Linked DNA regions of Neodiprion lecontei. The protein of the gene in region 3 purifies or fractionates together with the protein of the main gene of each other region. This does not show direct contact. Links are inferred from orthologs where the notes say so. Each region holds a gene or a part of one and is shown on either strand. Other genes may lie near its edges.

Region 1 (4,875 bases), on a different chromosome or scaffold from region 3:
GTAACTTGGCGGCACACTATGAAAACATATAATTTTATTTCCTGCTTATTTCAATCAAATAGATTTCTGCAATGCAAATTTACCTTATACAAACGAGACGTATGGACGTTATACTTTTTAGCATTTTCAAACATGATATTCATATCACCTGCAACCTCACTGACAGTGCCATATTCCCCCTTCTATGAAAGAAATCCATATATGTATGTAAGTTGAACAAACTAATATGTGTCAGCTCATTTATTGATGTTTTTGCATATCAAATCGTCAGTCGATACATGCATTGGAATTGTAAGAAATGTTCCTTTTACATGGGTTTTTGTATCTCACCTTTATTTTAGTCCGTATTTGATATAGTGATATTGGATTTTTTATTGCTTTGTAATAATCAGGATATAATCGTTTAGATGGTAATTTCCAATAGTATTCACTCATCCGGACGCCTGTAGATCCAAAATAAAATATTGTCTAATTCACCACTTTCACTCATATAAATGAATATCACATACATAAATAAGTTAATTTACTAGCAAAAGATTTTCAATCAAGAAACCTATATTCACAACTCGAGGTTAATTGTTGAAGATATTCTACCTTTATTGAAACAAAACGAAACACACCTTGACTGTTTGGGGCAGTTTTTATGGTCTGAAATAACTGCCACTGTGGATTGTCAGACTCTTCTCCGTCATTAGCTTCCTCCTCTTCGTCATCACTTTCATCTTCATCTTCATCTGCAAGTGCAGCAGTCACTGCTACAAGGGACTGGCCAGCACTTCTTCCTCTTTTACTTCTAGTAGAAGTTGCAGTAGAAGTGAGCTTCGGTACCATACCAGTAGCGCTAGATTCCTGTTTTTTAGCTGCAGAAACGATTATCTTTTTCAACATTTTAGCATCCTTGTATATTTGAGAACCTGGTTCATTAAACTGACAAGCATTGCGACACATGAGCATGAGATCTCTTTCCATTTCAATCAGTCCAGCATACGCTCCTTCTTGAATCCGGCGTGCGATTGTCTTCAAATCCACTGGATTCTCAATTATCTCATAATACTCAGGGTACAGCTGCAAATTAAATTTCACACTATTCAATTTCAGGTAATTTGTGAAGCAGTAAAATGTGTATTTCTATTGCAATTTTCCTGGCGCGTAATGGAACATCACAATTCTCATATTGCAACCACATTCGTTGACTATACAAGAAAATGAAAAATTCAAATAGACATAAAATTTGTAACAACAAAATTGGATTGTTCAGTGAAAATACAAACTTTCTTGGAAGGTTTCAATTGAAATGGAATATGTAGTGGTCTGTTATTGTCTTGTGGATTTGTTGCAGCCATGACCGCAGCAAACAAATCCTCGTATGGTTGCATAGACTCTTCATCAGGGTTGGTAGAGCTTTCAGAAGTGTCCTCAGCGTCATCCTGACGAGTTGTTACTTTCCGTGCCTGATAAAGGACATATTAATATTAAGCTTCTTGTATATATAACTCACGTGTTTTTTGCATTATCTTACCAGTCTGCCAACCTTAAGAATTATTTTCCCCTTTGGTTCAGAATCCTCATATTCTTCCATTATCCGATTTTTAGTATTCAGACATAATTCCCACAATTCCGTTGCATCTTTGTACTCTGGAGAAGTCCGCTAGACAAAATGTCAAAAGTTACCGCATTATTATATGTATATCAATAAACAGGATAAACTGTAACTATGAGCAGTTTTACCTTACGGGCAATCAAAATGTAAATCGATTGCTTAGCTCTAGGTAATAAATCAATCTTTGTTCTAATTCATTGCTTTTAACCATCAAATTCAATTACGAGTTGTTGATTTGGAAAAAATACATACCATGTAAAAAGCTTTAGCGTTATTAACCATAAGTTGAATGTCAGCTGCCAAATCATCCATATCTCGATATTCATCGGTTTTGAGCTTTTGCTGAACTTTCAACAAATCAATTGGATTTGTAACAACTTCGTAATAACCAGGTTCCTGTCTGCGTTTTGGTACGCGAATAAAAGCATCACACAACAGTGTTCCATCTTCTCTTTTTTGATTACGAAGAACATCATAGAGCTGCTGGCAAAGATCACTCTGCAATGATAAATCTCTAATTGAAATTTGGCTAATCCAACCTATAATACAACGGCATCGCATATTCAAACTGGAATCCAACTTTACAAGAAGCAAGATATTAATGGAAAGTGTTGAATGAATACAGCTAAATTCGATGATATAATTACTATAAAGGGAAGCAATATTTCTACCAAGTTGCAAGTATGTCTGTGTGAAAGTTTCACAAAGATATTTCTGTCATTTCATTTGTCTTTCGCAGATGGATCAACTTGCATTTACAAGGTCTCCGAATTTGAAATTATTTTAAGTATATCTTCAGAGCCATATCTACAACAATCTGCCGACCATTGTAATTTTTTTCCCATTCTATTATATTAGTATGAATTGAATCAATAAGTTATTGTTTATAGATTGCGTCCGTAATATCAGAAAATGACAGGGCAATGTTACCGGATCTAATTTTCGTCGTCGTTTCGTTGGTTCCGGTTGTACGTCGTCGGGATCATCCTCAGTACCACGACTTGCAACGGACGAAGTTCGACGGCGTTTATTCATCGTTGTGAGCCTGAAAATCGTAAAGAAATATTGTTTATTTTTACGCCGCATGACGCCATGTTAAATACAGTAGACCATGTACACTATGCATCTTACATTAGATGCAGGAATGTGATCCAAAGCTAGTCGAATTAATGGATTAAAAAAATAACAAAATCAAGCTGAATTTATCGCTCTACACTTACCGGATCCTGAAGTATTGATTTATAACTTAATTGCATGTGGAAGTAAATCTAATGCAACTTTAAGTAACGTTACTTGCCTGAGTTTACAAGGTATACAAATAGAGAGGTGACCACCATGCCTGCCGCAATATCTACTTCCTGATCAGAATCAAGATTTCCTATCCAAGCTCACATCCACGGGATAGATTTGTCGAGCTGCTAGAGACGTGAGAGGAAACCCACTGAAATATTTATAATACATTTCAGTAGTAAAACCGAGGTAGCGGCCATATTACGTTGTGTGCTACATCACGAAAGTTGCGGCCAGACTGTATGAAACTGAATAGAACCACCGTAACGGGAATTCGTAGATTAAAAAAATTGAATAACAAGTTACTGGTATCATTGAATAACCAAGCTAATAACTACATCATTTCACTATTTCCACGTCCGTGGTTCTGATTCTGGGTTTCTGTAGAGTCTAGCCAGTGATGTGGGCCAGTGCTTCGTTAACTAACTAGTGTTGAAAATTGGACAAAAATAACAAGTGTAAAGTTTCGCGCCAACATGCAGTTGAATTACATATGATGACAGCTTTCAGTTCTGAAATTATAAATTCCTGAATTCCACTAAAAGATTGATTGTTTATTCATTTTCAATTGAGTATCAAAATAAGTTGATGCCAAGTAAATTCAATGAGATGTATGTACGTACCATTAAAATTTCAACTTTTATTTGTATAATTCAATACCATTAGCTGAGATTCTAAAAATTTGTGGATACATTAATTTCAAGTTGTAGATTAATGTTTTTACAAATAGGTGTCTGTTTCAATTTACAGCTGTATTAAGTGTCATGATGAAGGATGGTGATTGAAAAAATATTCAGTCACTCAGAAAAAATTCCAGAGTGTAATTTGTGCATTTATTTGAGCTCTTCAACTTTTCAATTGCAACTGAGTTAAGACTACACTCATGTATAGGTGATACTCGAGAATATCGATATGATACGGATTTTATTCATTATTATGAGTATACATAACAATTTCTCTAAACGCAAATTATACTCCTTGCATAGTTACATTTATACAATTTTCATGCATGTCATATACATACAACTAAACTAATTTAACGGTCAATTATTGCACGTAAAAAATACTCATGGCCTTCTAATTGGTTCATATTTAGCTAACAAACGTGTTGAATAAAATTAAAAAGTACAATGCCATAATTATGGAATTGATAATATTACAAAGTCCAACGTTCAAACCGTAAAAGACTTTTCAGTTGCAGTTTTAAATCAAGTGATTATAGAATAATTAGACTGTGTAATTTCATAACTGTCACAGTTTTGAACACTTTGAGGTCACAGAACGTAATTAAATAATTAAAATATAGTGTAATTTTGAAATTAGAATTACATTAGTTACTCTTCAGTGGTAATTCAGTCTCTAAAACATCTTGATCTCGGATTATCCCTCTGGATAAAATCTTTTACTGTTTACAATCAGGCTTTTTTTACCAACATTTCTGGGGTTTAGCTCTCATTGTATCCCAAATAATTTCGCAAACTCAACTTGTCTTTAAGTTTTAGAAATTCCTTTAACAATAATGCTTATGCCAGGAAGGGAGAAAAGTTTTCTCAAATTATTGTAACCCCTCGGACCAGTTGCCTTAAGTATATCCCTAGCCATAACTATATCTGTTTTAGTAAACCTTGGTTTTTTAGACGTCTTGTTAGAATTCCTCAATTGTGTTTCTATAAATCGCTTTTGAATAGTCGATAGATTACTGATACCAAGATATTCTCTTTGCTCGATAGCGGCCAATGTTTGATATCTATTCTTCTGAAATCGAAAAAGCTTTTTCTTTAGGTTGTGGATATAGGACAACATTTCTGTTTCTCTGGACGTAACGTTATGTTGATTAATTCGAAATTGTTTACACAGATTTTCATAATCGGCATACTTTTGTTCAAATCGTATGTCGTCTTTACTACTCTTTTCAGTCAAACCATCAATAACAGGATTATGTTCCTTTGTGCCCTTCACAGCTATTATATTACTCGATGCTGAAC
Region 2 (6,249 bases), on a different chromosome or scaffold from region 3:
TCAAATTTTAACTATTTCGTACGGTGTTATTGTGAATTTTCAACAATATCCTAGTCTTTAGACTAATAAAATGATCACACTTGCACATAAAAAGTTAAGACTATCAAGTCAATAATGTGATCAGAGTTGAGCCTGGAATAAAGTTTTACATGCAACAGAAATACAAGTCGATTATTCCTTCAGGTGATTACTGCCCTCGTTTCGCTCAGGTAGCAAACCCACCCGCAGGAATAATCTTTGACTTTATTGTTGCATAATATACTATTCTTGTCTCTTTCTACAAGGAAAAAATAATAGAATTATCAAATTATTTCGATTAATCTCCTGTGACTGGTATTGAATATACTACTACGCATTCAGCCGTTTTTTTAACATGTCAATAAACTTGATATCACTGTAGCTGGATACTAAGAATGTATTACATTTATACTCACGAGTTATGCAAATTGATGTGTTGCAACGTTTTCTGTACAGTCGCTTAAATTACTGCATCCGAAATGATAAAATGAATGTCCAGTTTTATAGAGTAAGCTTTATTTCTATTACCATATTGATCAGTTCCAATGATAATCAGCAATTGTTAAGAAATCGTTCTAAACACTCTACGAAAAGATCAGCTAGGTCATACGTGTTTTTAAAAGCATTACCTAGTCTTCCATTATGGTGTGAATGATGATGAAATACTAGATTACTTCAACCTATATTAATCAGTGTGTAGCCAACATTGTATAACCATAAATCAGAATAACCTAGTATAATGACAAAAATGGGACATGAATACTTACAGTTATAGGTTTTTCGAAACTAAACACCACTCCAATACAATTATTAATAAAAAGGTTGTTTTGTTTGAAAATAGCTTACAAACTAAATTCAACACTTCGTGGATTTATCCTGATCCAGATGTATCCATTTTTTGATTGTCCGCCTGGTTTTCGGGAGGTCGATCTCTGTCGCCGTGAATAGGTGTCGAAGCATACGAAGCTCCTGAATCAGAGCCAACATTAGAACCTGAATTTCCATCTCCCACATTGTGCGGTGATTGAGGATGATAATGAGGACTATGAGGGCTGTGTGGGCCGTGAGAGTGCGGTCTACCCATAGAATGGGGAGCATACTGGGAATAAGATTGATAATAGGGATGAGCATATTGAGGATAAGGTTGATGATACGGCTGCTGTTGAGAATACGCATAAGAAGGATGTGGCGGTCTTGGAGCCAACGGAACATTTTGCGCTTGTTGACCTCCGGCCGGTTGATACTGCTGATTGTAACTCTGACCGGTGGGTATCATTGAGTTCACGTGAGGGTTTGGTGGCATTGCATTTTGGGAAGGCATTGTTTGGGGCGGCATGTTTTGATTGTGCGGAGGTGTCGCTTGAGAGGGTAGAGTGTGATTCTGATGGGGAGGAATCGAATGATTGGGAAGAACGTTTTGTTGATGGGGGGTATGCGATGGAGGAGGTTGAGGTTGCTGTTGCTGTTGCTGTTGCTGTTGCTGTTGCTGAGGTTGAGTTTGAGGTTGCGGCTGAGGTGGTGGTGGTGGTAGTTGCTGCTGCTGCTGCTGTTGTTGCTGCTGCTGTTGCTGCTGCTGTTGTTGCTGTTGCTGCTGCTGCTGTTGTTGTTGTTGTTGGTGATGTTGCTGTTGTAGTAGCAGTGGTGGAGGCTGTGCTGGTACAAGTACAGGAGCAATGGCTGGTGGAGTAGAAGGCTGGGGTGGGGGTACGCTTGTAGCGGTAGTAACGGTTGTTTGCTGGATGGGGCTCACTGCTCCCGGATATGTCACAGGTGAAGACCTCTGCGGAGAGTGATTATTTGTTTGCATTGTTGTTTCAGTTTTTACTTCTGTGTATGGCGGTGAAAGTGTCTCCTTTTTCGTTTCGATAGGCTGATCCACATCCATTTTCTTTTCTGATGGTTCGCTGTCTGTAATCTATAGAAATATACACACGTCAATTGATTATAAGCTTCGAATGTGAGAATGTCTTTGTTCTCCGTTCATCTAATAATCTGCTCTTACTCAGAATCCATTTTTACATAGTATATTTATAACAAATTATTAATACCTCAGGTTGTGATTCTTCGCTAACTGGGGCCGGAGTTGGAGTTGGAGTGGAATTCGGTGTTGATTCGCTTGAAGCCGGGCCATCAGATCGATTTTCTTCGGTACCTTTTTGTCTGTCTCTTCGTAATAACTCGTATTGACGCTCAACCATTTTATTGAATGCATCTTCGTCTACTGCAGGCTTACAATGCTGATGGGATAAAACGTATATCAGCAACAATTTATTATTATGCTAAAATTGTAAACTACAAGTTTTTACTTACTTTCTTTAATTCATCTTGAAACACTTCGCTAGCTTCAACGAATTTACGTTTTTTTGCGTCAAACTTTTCTTCAATCTGCTGCAGCTCAGCTTCTAATTTTTTCTGCAGAAGTATTTTATTATATTTATAAGTTAAAGCAATTCTTGCTTTACAATAGAAGACATATTTATTTTACTAACAACGTGTGGTTTAGACTACCTGATGCATTGTGAGTGACTGTACTTGGCGTCGAAGAACTTGCATTCTTTGAGTAGTAACTACAGAACGCACATCTGGTACAACGGTGTCGCTAAAGATCTCATTTATCAGTCTGTGATTGCGGGCGAATCGAGAATATGCAACGTGTTTGACTGAATATCCATCGTCTTGATCTAGGGATAAATAGAAATAGAACATAACTCGGTGCTCAACGACGTTTGCTAAGTTTGTACAGATCCAGTCAACTTTATACGATTAGTCTTTCAAAACCTAACACAGATTAGGAAATCCCAATTGCGCTTACCTCTTATTTCGGGATAGCAAATTATGAACTTCTTAGGCCAAAACTTACAGTTTAACAAAAGAAGAAATGGATAGTTAATGGATAAATTGTATACCATCATCATCTTCCGCCGGTTGAATGTCTATCCGTCGGTCTTGGGCTGCCTGACTTTTACTGCTTCCAGAGGAACGCTCATGAGTTTCTCGATCATCGCTATTTTGCTGAGCTGCACATAACACTGCATTAGACACAAGTTTGTAAACATCCTACACTCAGTGTTTGGATATGCACAAGCTGACAAAACACATCTAAATATACCAGATCATTTTCTTATCTGACACAGAAAAGTGCAGTTAGAGCTATATATGTCTTGTTATACAATAATGCAACGAATATCAGATAGAGTAAAAAATTAGCTGAAACCTACCAGATTTTCCCCTATTCTTTGCAGCGATATACGCAAGGTATGCAGGCGAATTATGGTAAGTTTTTAAGCTCTTCTCATATTCGACCTGAAACCAAACATTACTAGTTGTTTAGAATTTTCAAAGAGAGAAACATTTGAAAACTTCAGATGTAGCTGTAGTGGGTAGCAATGAGGAAGAAGGGTTTTCGATATTTGAAATTCAGTATACTCACCTTTTCTGCTTCATATTCTTCGATGAATTCAGTTTTCTCATCTTCCGGTAGGTCTCTCCACATCTGCCCGATGATTTTTCCTATTTCCCATAGTTTTAACTCGGGATTTTGAGCTTTCACTTGGTCCCAGACTTTTCTGCTGTATCTCATGTATGGCATCAATGGTTTCTCTGGAGGCTTGGGTGGTTTTGGCAACCTAGAATCCGCCTGAAACATATAGCATAATTGTGGATCCTGTAAGCAGCCAACGGCAGAACAACATTTTATGTAAATAAACGCATGTCTACCGGTGTGCTTTTTCCAACTTTCTGTGGGGTAAATCCAGGATGTCCATGAGGTGTTTGAATGAAAGGGGTCTGCGCATCTTTCTGCAAATAATGTCATGATTAAATTTCTGGATCAGAGATGTTTGACTGATGCGTATGAGAAAGATTGCTTGATAACATACCCCTGTACTAGAACTACCACTGGCACCGGAAGCCCGTAATCGTTCTGTTAAAAATATCCAACAGTTATAATTTCAGCATTCAATTTTGTCTATGCGCATGATGTTCACTTTAGGTTTATTATACATACGATTGCTAGAAACAACATTTGACGACGCCATCGCCACTTGTTTGTAATTCTGCGGTAACGCCATCCTTTACCTGTACATTTGAAAATTAATGAATGAATCGTTGAAAGACGGTATTCTTGAAAACAATTAACTTGGGTTTGTCGAAAAATTAATTTTTTCACAATCTACTGCAATCAAAGATTTGTGATAATATATGAAATCGTGGGAAAATATCAGAAGCTCCAGTTTCTGAGTAAATATCATTTCCGCCGCTTGCAAAATAGTTAACAGAAGGTTACAACTCCGTTCGAATTGTCTGTAAATTAATCCAATCGAGTTCCTGGAAATCCGACTTTGGGAAATGAACATTATGTATGAAAACTGTGCTAAGCTGTTGCTGGCAATGAGCTAAATTCCGTACACGTAAGCCTCTGCTGTCCAATTCGAAGGAAAGGAAAAATCGAATAAAGCATTACGAATAAATGAAAGTACTTACTTTGTAAGTAAGAAACCACCGTCAATCGTTTCAGGAGTAAAACCTCATACTGAATCAAAGTTAGAGAGTAACGAAAATTTACAATTCACGGTACAAAACGCCGAAGCGTCGGGCGAGGTTTCAGAATTTCATAGATTGCTCGTACATGCCCACATTAAAAAAGCATAGTTGTCAGCACGCATCTCGTAGATGGCGTCTAGCTTTTGAACTTACAAAAATCATCAAGAGATGGCGGATCACGCTTACAACATGATCGGTGTGACGTTGGCAACGGACCGGAGTCTCATCTGCTTTTAATGCCGATCGGGTCTACTTTTAGGACTTTAGTCGACAATACTCATGTAAGTATTTGTTTTTATTGATTATCTTTGTTATATATTAACATAAAACCTGAGTTAATATAATTGAACTTTGGTGAATAGCGTTATTCGAGTTTTAGGTCAACGGTTTTTTGTCCAAGTCCGCGACGTTAGAATAAACAATTGATAGACGATCGGGAAGCCATGTTGTTGATCAGTTCCAAGTCCGAATTCTTTCTCGCGCTGTAAAGAATAAAGTTTTGACGGTAAGTTTGTTAGTTTTGAATTAAAAATATTAACAAATTTGTGATACATTTGTGATACTGTCCGCAGTGGTATTTACGTAGTGTATTATCCAAACGGTATAAAAAATAAACGAGTCTATTCCGCCCTCAAAATGAAAAAAAATTTCCAGTTTGATTTTCGTTTCGTGTATCTGCAAACGTAGAGTTCAGATGTTTACAGGTGAAAAGTGATCGTTTATAGTTAGGATATCCTCGGACTCGAGTGCGCGTAGTGAAAACGAATTGTTCAATTCTCCCGAAGAAAAGATGAACGTACATCGAACTGTTCTTTCTTCATTACATGGACATCCAGGTATAATATGAACATTTGCACATACATATATACTTCTGTTCGAAAATATGATATACTGCATTTGTCATCTGTGTACACGTATGAACGTAATTTATTTGCTATCTTCTCATTCAAGCTTGAGCTTCACGTGCGCAAGCTTTGCCATACACCTAATTATTATTTATTCATATCATTGTTGGTATGCATATGCTCCAAGTTGGTAAGCAACGTAAAGAGATATGATTTCTCAATTCAGCAACGTTGTAATAATTTTTCCGGATTTAAATTACACGCTGGAAACGGTGTCGTCGGGTTATTTTACTCGCATGCGGAACGCAAATCCGAAGATTGGTAACGTGTTACGGAACACGTGCCAGATTGGGTTTTAGTGTCAACAAGCCGCAATATTTGAAATCAGATCGGCTTGAAAACATGTGATTGCTGTGTTTACTGTGGGATCAAAATTGCGAAGATTAATAATAATTTGATTGTCTTCATTGAAACTTACTTCCACGATAGTAACCAGACCACTGCAGGCAAGTATTACTTTCAGGTGTTTATTTATTATCATCATCATCATTATCAGTTATAATCGCGAATGCTATTTTTAACACTCGTTGACTTTCATTTAGAGGTTATGATGCCGCATCCGAGAAATAGTTTTTCCTGGGATGACTGAGAATATTAACTTTTTATTCGCCCATTTTTTTACTGAATATATTTCGATCCTAGCTACTCATATTCTCGCACTAGTCACTCCATTGAGGTTATGCTGGTCCTACAAGAATCACTAAAAAATACATAAGATATTGGCAGGTTTCATTATTTTGAGCCTCCCTCGGTGACGGGTACAAACGGCATTATTTTTTGGGTC
Region 3 (4,638 bases):
AAAATGAATGCAGTAAATTTGATATTCATCAGGAGTTTGATTCTCTTACTGTTGCATCCTGAAGATTTGCTTTTAAATTCAAGTGTTTCAAATAGCATTGATACCCTAATAAGGCAACATGCGTTTGTTTTGAGAAAGTATAAGAAAACTCGGAATGAAATGAATTGTACTAACAGGTTCGTTGAAATTTCTTTTATGTTCTGGGAAATCCCAAGGGTAATAATCATCCTTGGCTTCAGCCGAGACCATAGGAAGTTCTGGATAATCTCCTAAACCATTTCCATCATCTGGAATTGGTTTATAATCTTCTTTTATTAGGTTATATTTCTCTGCTGCTTTAGCTCTTTCTTCTTCTGTTGTTGGATATTGGGCTGGTTTATAGTCCCTGATCATACCTGAACAGAAAAGATTTTATCATAATTTATAATACGTTTAAATGAGTTGAACTTTGTGACCGTATAGATATTATAAATATTTGATTTCGTTGGACGACGGTCAGGGTTGGAATGATGGTCAATAAGCAATGAATTTTATTTTCCGTACATTTTGGCAGGTCCTGATGATGGTCGGCTGGGCCTGCCGAAACGTCGTACAGAAGATAAAATTGATTGCTTAATGTGCATCATTCCAACCCTAACCGTCATCCAACGAAATCAAATATTCATAACACGTTTAAAAGAATGTTTTGTTAATTCGTAACAGTTAGCTTTCAGTTCATTACCTAATATGCATGAAACAATTTAATGAAATTATTTATCAGGCCATTTAAAGCAGGTACAGTAATGAAATCTCATTGCATCTGTTTTGAAACATACATTCTGGCATTTTGATGACATAAATATGTATTAGCTGTTCATATGGAGTTAAGCTGCCCGTGAGAAAGTTGAAGATATCAAAAAAGATATGTATCGTAATATCGAGGAGCAGGAAAAGTAAGCTACACATTAATTTTCGTTAAAATCTGTAATGCAAAGTAATAAATTATGTAATTGATGGACATAACCTCTACGGTGTGCGTTTACTCCAGTAACTTCATTCGCACTCACGAAATATTTCACACAAATATATTTTTATGGTGTTCTGTTTACACTTACTGTATTTCGCTATATTATACGTGTAGACACCGTTTTGTGGCCATAATCGGGTCGAAATTTTACAGAACTTCGCGAGAGAAGACATTTTTGATAACTCAGGCCTTTCCGGCTCTGACCACCAACTATAGAAACTCCGTCTCTGTGGCTACGGGCTCTACGGAGGCGCGGCGTTGAACGCGTTCTAGCCATGGACTAAAGCCATAGACTATCGTAAGCGTTGACTGAACTCACTGATATGTAACAGTAACCAAACAAGATCAACACAAAAGACAATCTAAAGCCAGAGTTGAATCAAATGTCCGCTATCTCTTGCTTTTTTCATTTTTAAAAACGACATTTCTCAACGCTTTTTATACCCATATATAGCGATTTGAGCCATAAAATGGGTAAAACATCGATTGGGTTCGTATGGTAAAGATGGCCTGAAGATGGATTCGCACCGCTGTTTTTATGTATAAACATTCAGCATACGATTGGCGATAGCAGCGCCACTAGCGTCTGAACGAGCGAGAATGCGGGAAAGAAAGATGGCCGGCGGCTTGTGTTATTCGGTGGGATTTGTCGTGTAGTCGCGGTCAAGATTGCTTTCTCCTATTTAGGTTGAAATATTACAAGTTTACTGCATGAACGTAGTGGAAACTATTCGTCGTATGTTCGGCGGAAGCCCGAGCTAAGAGTTAAAAAGGTACGAGTCGTCTTTACAGACATATTCATGAATGTATGTCTTACGTTTTTGCGTAATGGCCAAAAGGGACTCCGATTCGCTCGAGTGTGTTTGTGCTTCAACTTTGTTGACGATGAAATTCTAGTTGAAATCGTCACGATTTGAAACTAACTCATTGAATAATATAATTGAGGTACCAAGTTTTCCGTAAAGCGTACATTATCTGAGACGTACACAGAGTGTTGAGTAATATTTGACGACGAAGCCGTGAGTTTGGTGTCACACACACATAATTGTGTTCCATCAATCCAAGTTTTTCGCCTCACCCTGCCTTACGAACCACTGTCGTATTTTTGATAGTTTTTTTTTTTAACTCTCTCAATTTTCTTAGGTATTATGAATTACGTCATTTTGTGTCTTCTTTTTTTGCTATTAAATATGCAGACTTTTTGTCATCAGCTTTGTTGTTAACTTGTAAATGTGAAATGAGGTTACATTTGACGGGTTCTCGTACTCGTGATCATAATCCTGACAAAAGAATTATCAGTTTAAGCCAGAAAATTTCGATAATCTTTGACTAATTAAATAAATACCACTTTAAACCATCAATGAAATAGGCACTATGCTCAAAATCACAATTGTAAGAAACTTACCTCGCACACCCAGATATGCAGTCGATGTATCAGTTGCCATTATTCTGTGATGCAACGTCACCTTGGTTGTTTGTGCACTAACGCGAAGCATAAATTCTTCATAAAATAAACTTTGTGTCTTTCCCATGTATTTTGATCTAGGAAGCTATGCAATCGTGACTGAAACATCTTGTGATTCGTTCATGTTGAAAACCACGGGTTCATTCTAATGGAAATATTTCTGAAAAGCAATTCTGTTAATCTTTGGAATATAAGCAGTATTACAGTTGTTAATGATTCTACTTTTGTTGAACGGAATGGACTTGGAAAAATCAGGGATGCTGAGAGAGTCAACCGAAAAAAACATTATCGTTTCCAAAATATTTTTTCTGCATTCTTACGCAAACCTTATTAAAAATTAAATTCCTGTCCGAGTCTTCCATAAAAGGAACTTCGAATTTATATCCTAATGTTTGTCTAACTTTGGTTTCATTGGTAATGAGATTTATTTTTCAGAGTCCCAGTACTGAATAAGCTGGAGTCTGATAGAAACAGCATGGCGAGCCCCTCGCCCCAATCGTCTCCCATGCCACCCCCACAAGCACCAAGTCCAATGGGCCCTCCCCAACAAGCTCCATCCCCGTCCAATCCTCAAGGCAGTCCAATGGGTCCTCCACAACATCATCCTCATAGTCCAACTCAAGGATATCAGGGCGGTCCACCAATGCCGCAGCAACAGCAGCCTCCCCCACAGCAACAAGGGTATCCTCCACACCCGCAGCAAATGCCACCAAATATGGGACCTCAGGTGAGATGTTTTTAAATTCAAATCATCGAATGAAGCTAAAGTCTTCAGAATTCACAATGGGATGTGTTAATCATTGTATGCTATTTCTCCTCGCCGGATTCGGTTCTTAAAGATAAGTTGAACGTGGAGTAATCAAATTATATGTTAGCTTGTATTGATATGAAAATCTAGTGAAATGCTTCTTGGAACAAATTTATTTTGTAGACGGTTCAAGGGAATTGAAATGCTCATTGCGTGAAGAGTTTAAATTTAGTAGTTATAATTCAAAAGATCAATTAAACGAAGAGAATGAAGAACAAGTGAAGAACTTGGACATATATACGACGATTTTTCTATTCTCTTCTTTCCGTTATTTGCTTATTTGACACTGCTAATTGTCATAAATCGCTGTGCTGAACTTGATATTGGAAGTTTTAAGATGAATAGTTACAGAAGTTTGGAATTACACAGTACAAGATATAAAGGGAAGTTTGTTAAAGATCTGAACTTATCTGCAACAAGAAGTCAGATATTTTTTCCTGACCGATGCTGTCTGTTTTCTTGAATAGATTGACAATTTGTTCAGCTATTTCACGGTTACAAGCTGCAATCACTTTTGGGTTCATCAAATCTAAAACTCCACCTGAAAAAAGAATCCATTTCAAGTCCATAAATTAATTTGAAGAATTCTGTACATAGATGAATGTAGACGATCCGTCAAATTCTATAATGTTGATTTTCTGCTTCCTCATCATAGATTATTCTGTTTTCAATATTTAGAATGTTTATATTAGTATACATTCTTATCAATTCTCCGTTGACAGAAGAGAAGAAAAAAAATATTTCCCTCGATTACACACACCATAAATTATATGATCTTACCAGTAGTATCCACAACCATCCCTCCAGCCTCTTCGATGATTAATTGTCCGGCAGCCACGTCCCATGGGTCTATGCCTTCGATGTGATATGCTTCGATTGCACCCATCGCTACGTAGCATAGACTTAGCGCAGCCAGTCCCAGAGATCTAATTCTGAAATAATTTGTTGATAGTTTCATTCGAAATTATACTTACACGCAACTGTTCAACTATGAGAGTTTCTTTCGATTAATACAGCTTGTAGTCCTTGAATTTTTTCTAGTACCAACCCGTGAGTCTTCTGAATTAGAAAATGTGTTCTGCTATACAAACTTGAGGTATGTTCTTCATTTTTGGCTAACCATGGCTCGATTCCGACAAGAGCATGCGAAAGGTCTGAAACATCCAATTTTGTGTCAATTCTGACATTTTTGTTCGACAAATGTTCAATTTCAATTAATTGTACTTTCGATTTAGGAGAGACGGTACTTGTATCACATTTTGTGGTATATTTATTTTTTTGTCAACTCCTTGGCTTGCACTGGCAATTAAAATTATCAGCCATTGTTACTTATTAGTGTGAGATAATATTTCACTAGGT

What was found. The genes of interacting proteins can lie anywhere in the genome.
Region 1: the proteins of ATP-dependent helicase brm (region 3) and protein polybromo-1 purify together in Drosophila melanogaster (affinity purification with western blotting; 3 studies listed by BioGRID, with this or other methods). This does not show direct contact. The link is inferred for Neodiprion lecontei from reciprocal best matches to the Drosophila melanogaster genes brm and polybromo.
Region 2: the proteins of ATP-dependent helicase brm (region 3) and bromodomain-containing protein 4 purify together in Drosophila melanogaster (affinity purification with western blotting; 6 studies listed by BioGRID, with this or other methods). This does not show direct contact. The link is inferred for Neodiprion lecontei from reciprocal best matches to the Drosophila melanogaster genes brm and Bap111.

Annotation. Positions count from the first base shown.
Region 1 is NC_060265.1:21,313,800-21,318,674, reverse strand, and holds the start of protein polybromo-1, read right to left. Parts: upstream 3,013-4,875; 5' UTR 2,898-3,012; intron 2,646-2,897; 5' UTR 2,636-2,645; coding exon 2,531-2,635; intron 2,099-2,530; coding exon 1,853-2,098; intron 1,649-1,852; coding exon 1,520-1,648; intron 1,452-1,519; coding exon 1,272-1,451; intron 1,066-1,271; coding exon 621-1,065; intron 444-620; coding exon 331-443; intron 183-330; coding exon 84-182; intron 17-83; coding exon 1-16. Other genes in the region: uncharacterized protein LOC124295063, read right to left, coding at 4,382-4,875.
Region 2 is NC_060265.1:2,667,158-2,673,406, reverse strand, and holds bromodomain-containing protein 4, read right to left. Parts: upstream 4,641-6,249; 5' UTR 4,501-4,640; exon of another isoform or gene 4,496-4,500; intron 4,137-4,495; exon of another isoform or gene 4,096-4,136; 5' UTR 4,089-4,095; coding exon 4,025-4,088; intron 3,941-4,024; coding exon 3,897-3,940; intron 3,817-3,896; coding exon 3,736-3,816; intron 3,656-3,735; coding exon 3,449-3,655; intron 3,322-3,448; coding exon 3,237-3,321; intron 3,048-3,236; coding exon 2,925-3,047; intron 2,700-2,924; coding exon 2,527-2,699; intron 2,431-2,526; coding exon 2,329-2,430; intron 2,256-2,328; coding exon 2,067-2,255; intron 1,934-2,066; coding exon 890-1,933; 3' UTR 513-889; downstream 1-512.
Region 3 is NC_060262.1:27,357,215-27,361,852, reverse strand, and holds the start of ATP-dependent helicase brm, read left to right. Parts: upstream 1-1,631; 5' UTR 1,632-1,779; intron 1,780-2,906; 5' UTR 2,907-2,946; coding exon 2,947-3,198; exon of another isoform or gene 3,199-3,671; coding exon of another isoform or gene 3,672-3,820; intron 3,821-4,059; coding exon of another isoform or gene 4,060-4,211; intron 4,212-4,327; coding exon of another isoform or gene 4,328-4,433; intron 4,434-4,638. Other genes in the region: NADH dehydrogenase [ubiquinone] 1 beta subcomplex subunit 8, mitochondrial, read right to left, coding at 175-395, 1,095-1,179; inositol monophosphatase 1, read right to left, coding at 3,672-3,820, 4,060-4,211, 4,328-4,433. UniProt on the Drosophila melanogaster protein: Transcriptional regulator. Acts as a coactivator, assisting one or more dedicated transcriptional activators of ANTC and BXC homeotic gene clusters. Can counteract the repressive effect of Polycomb protein.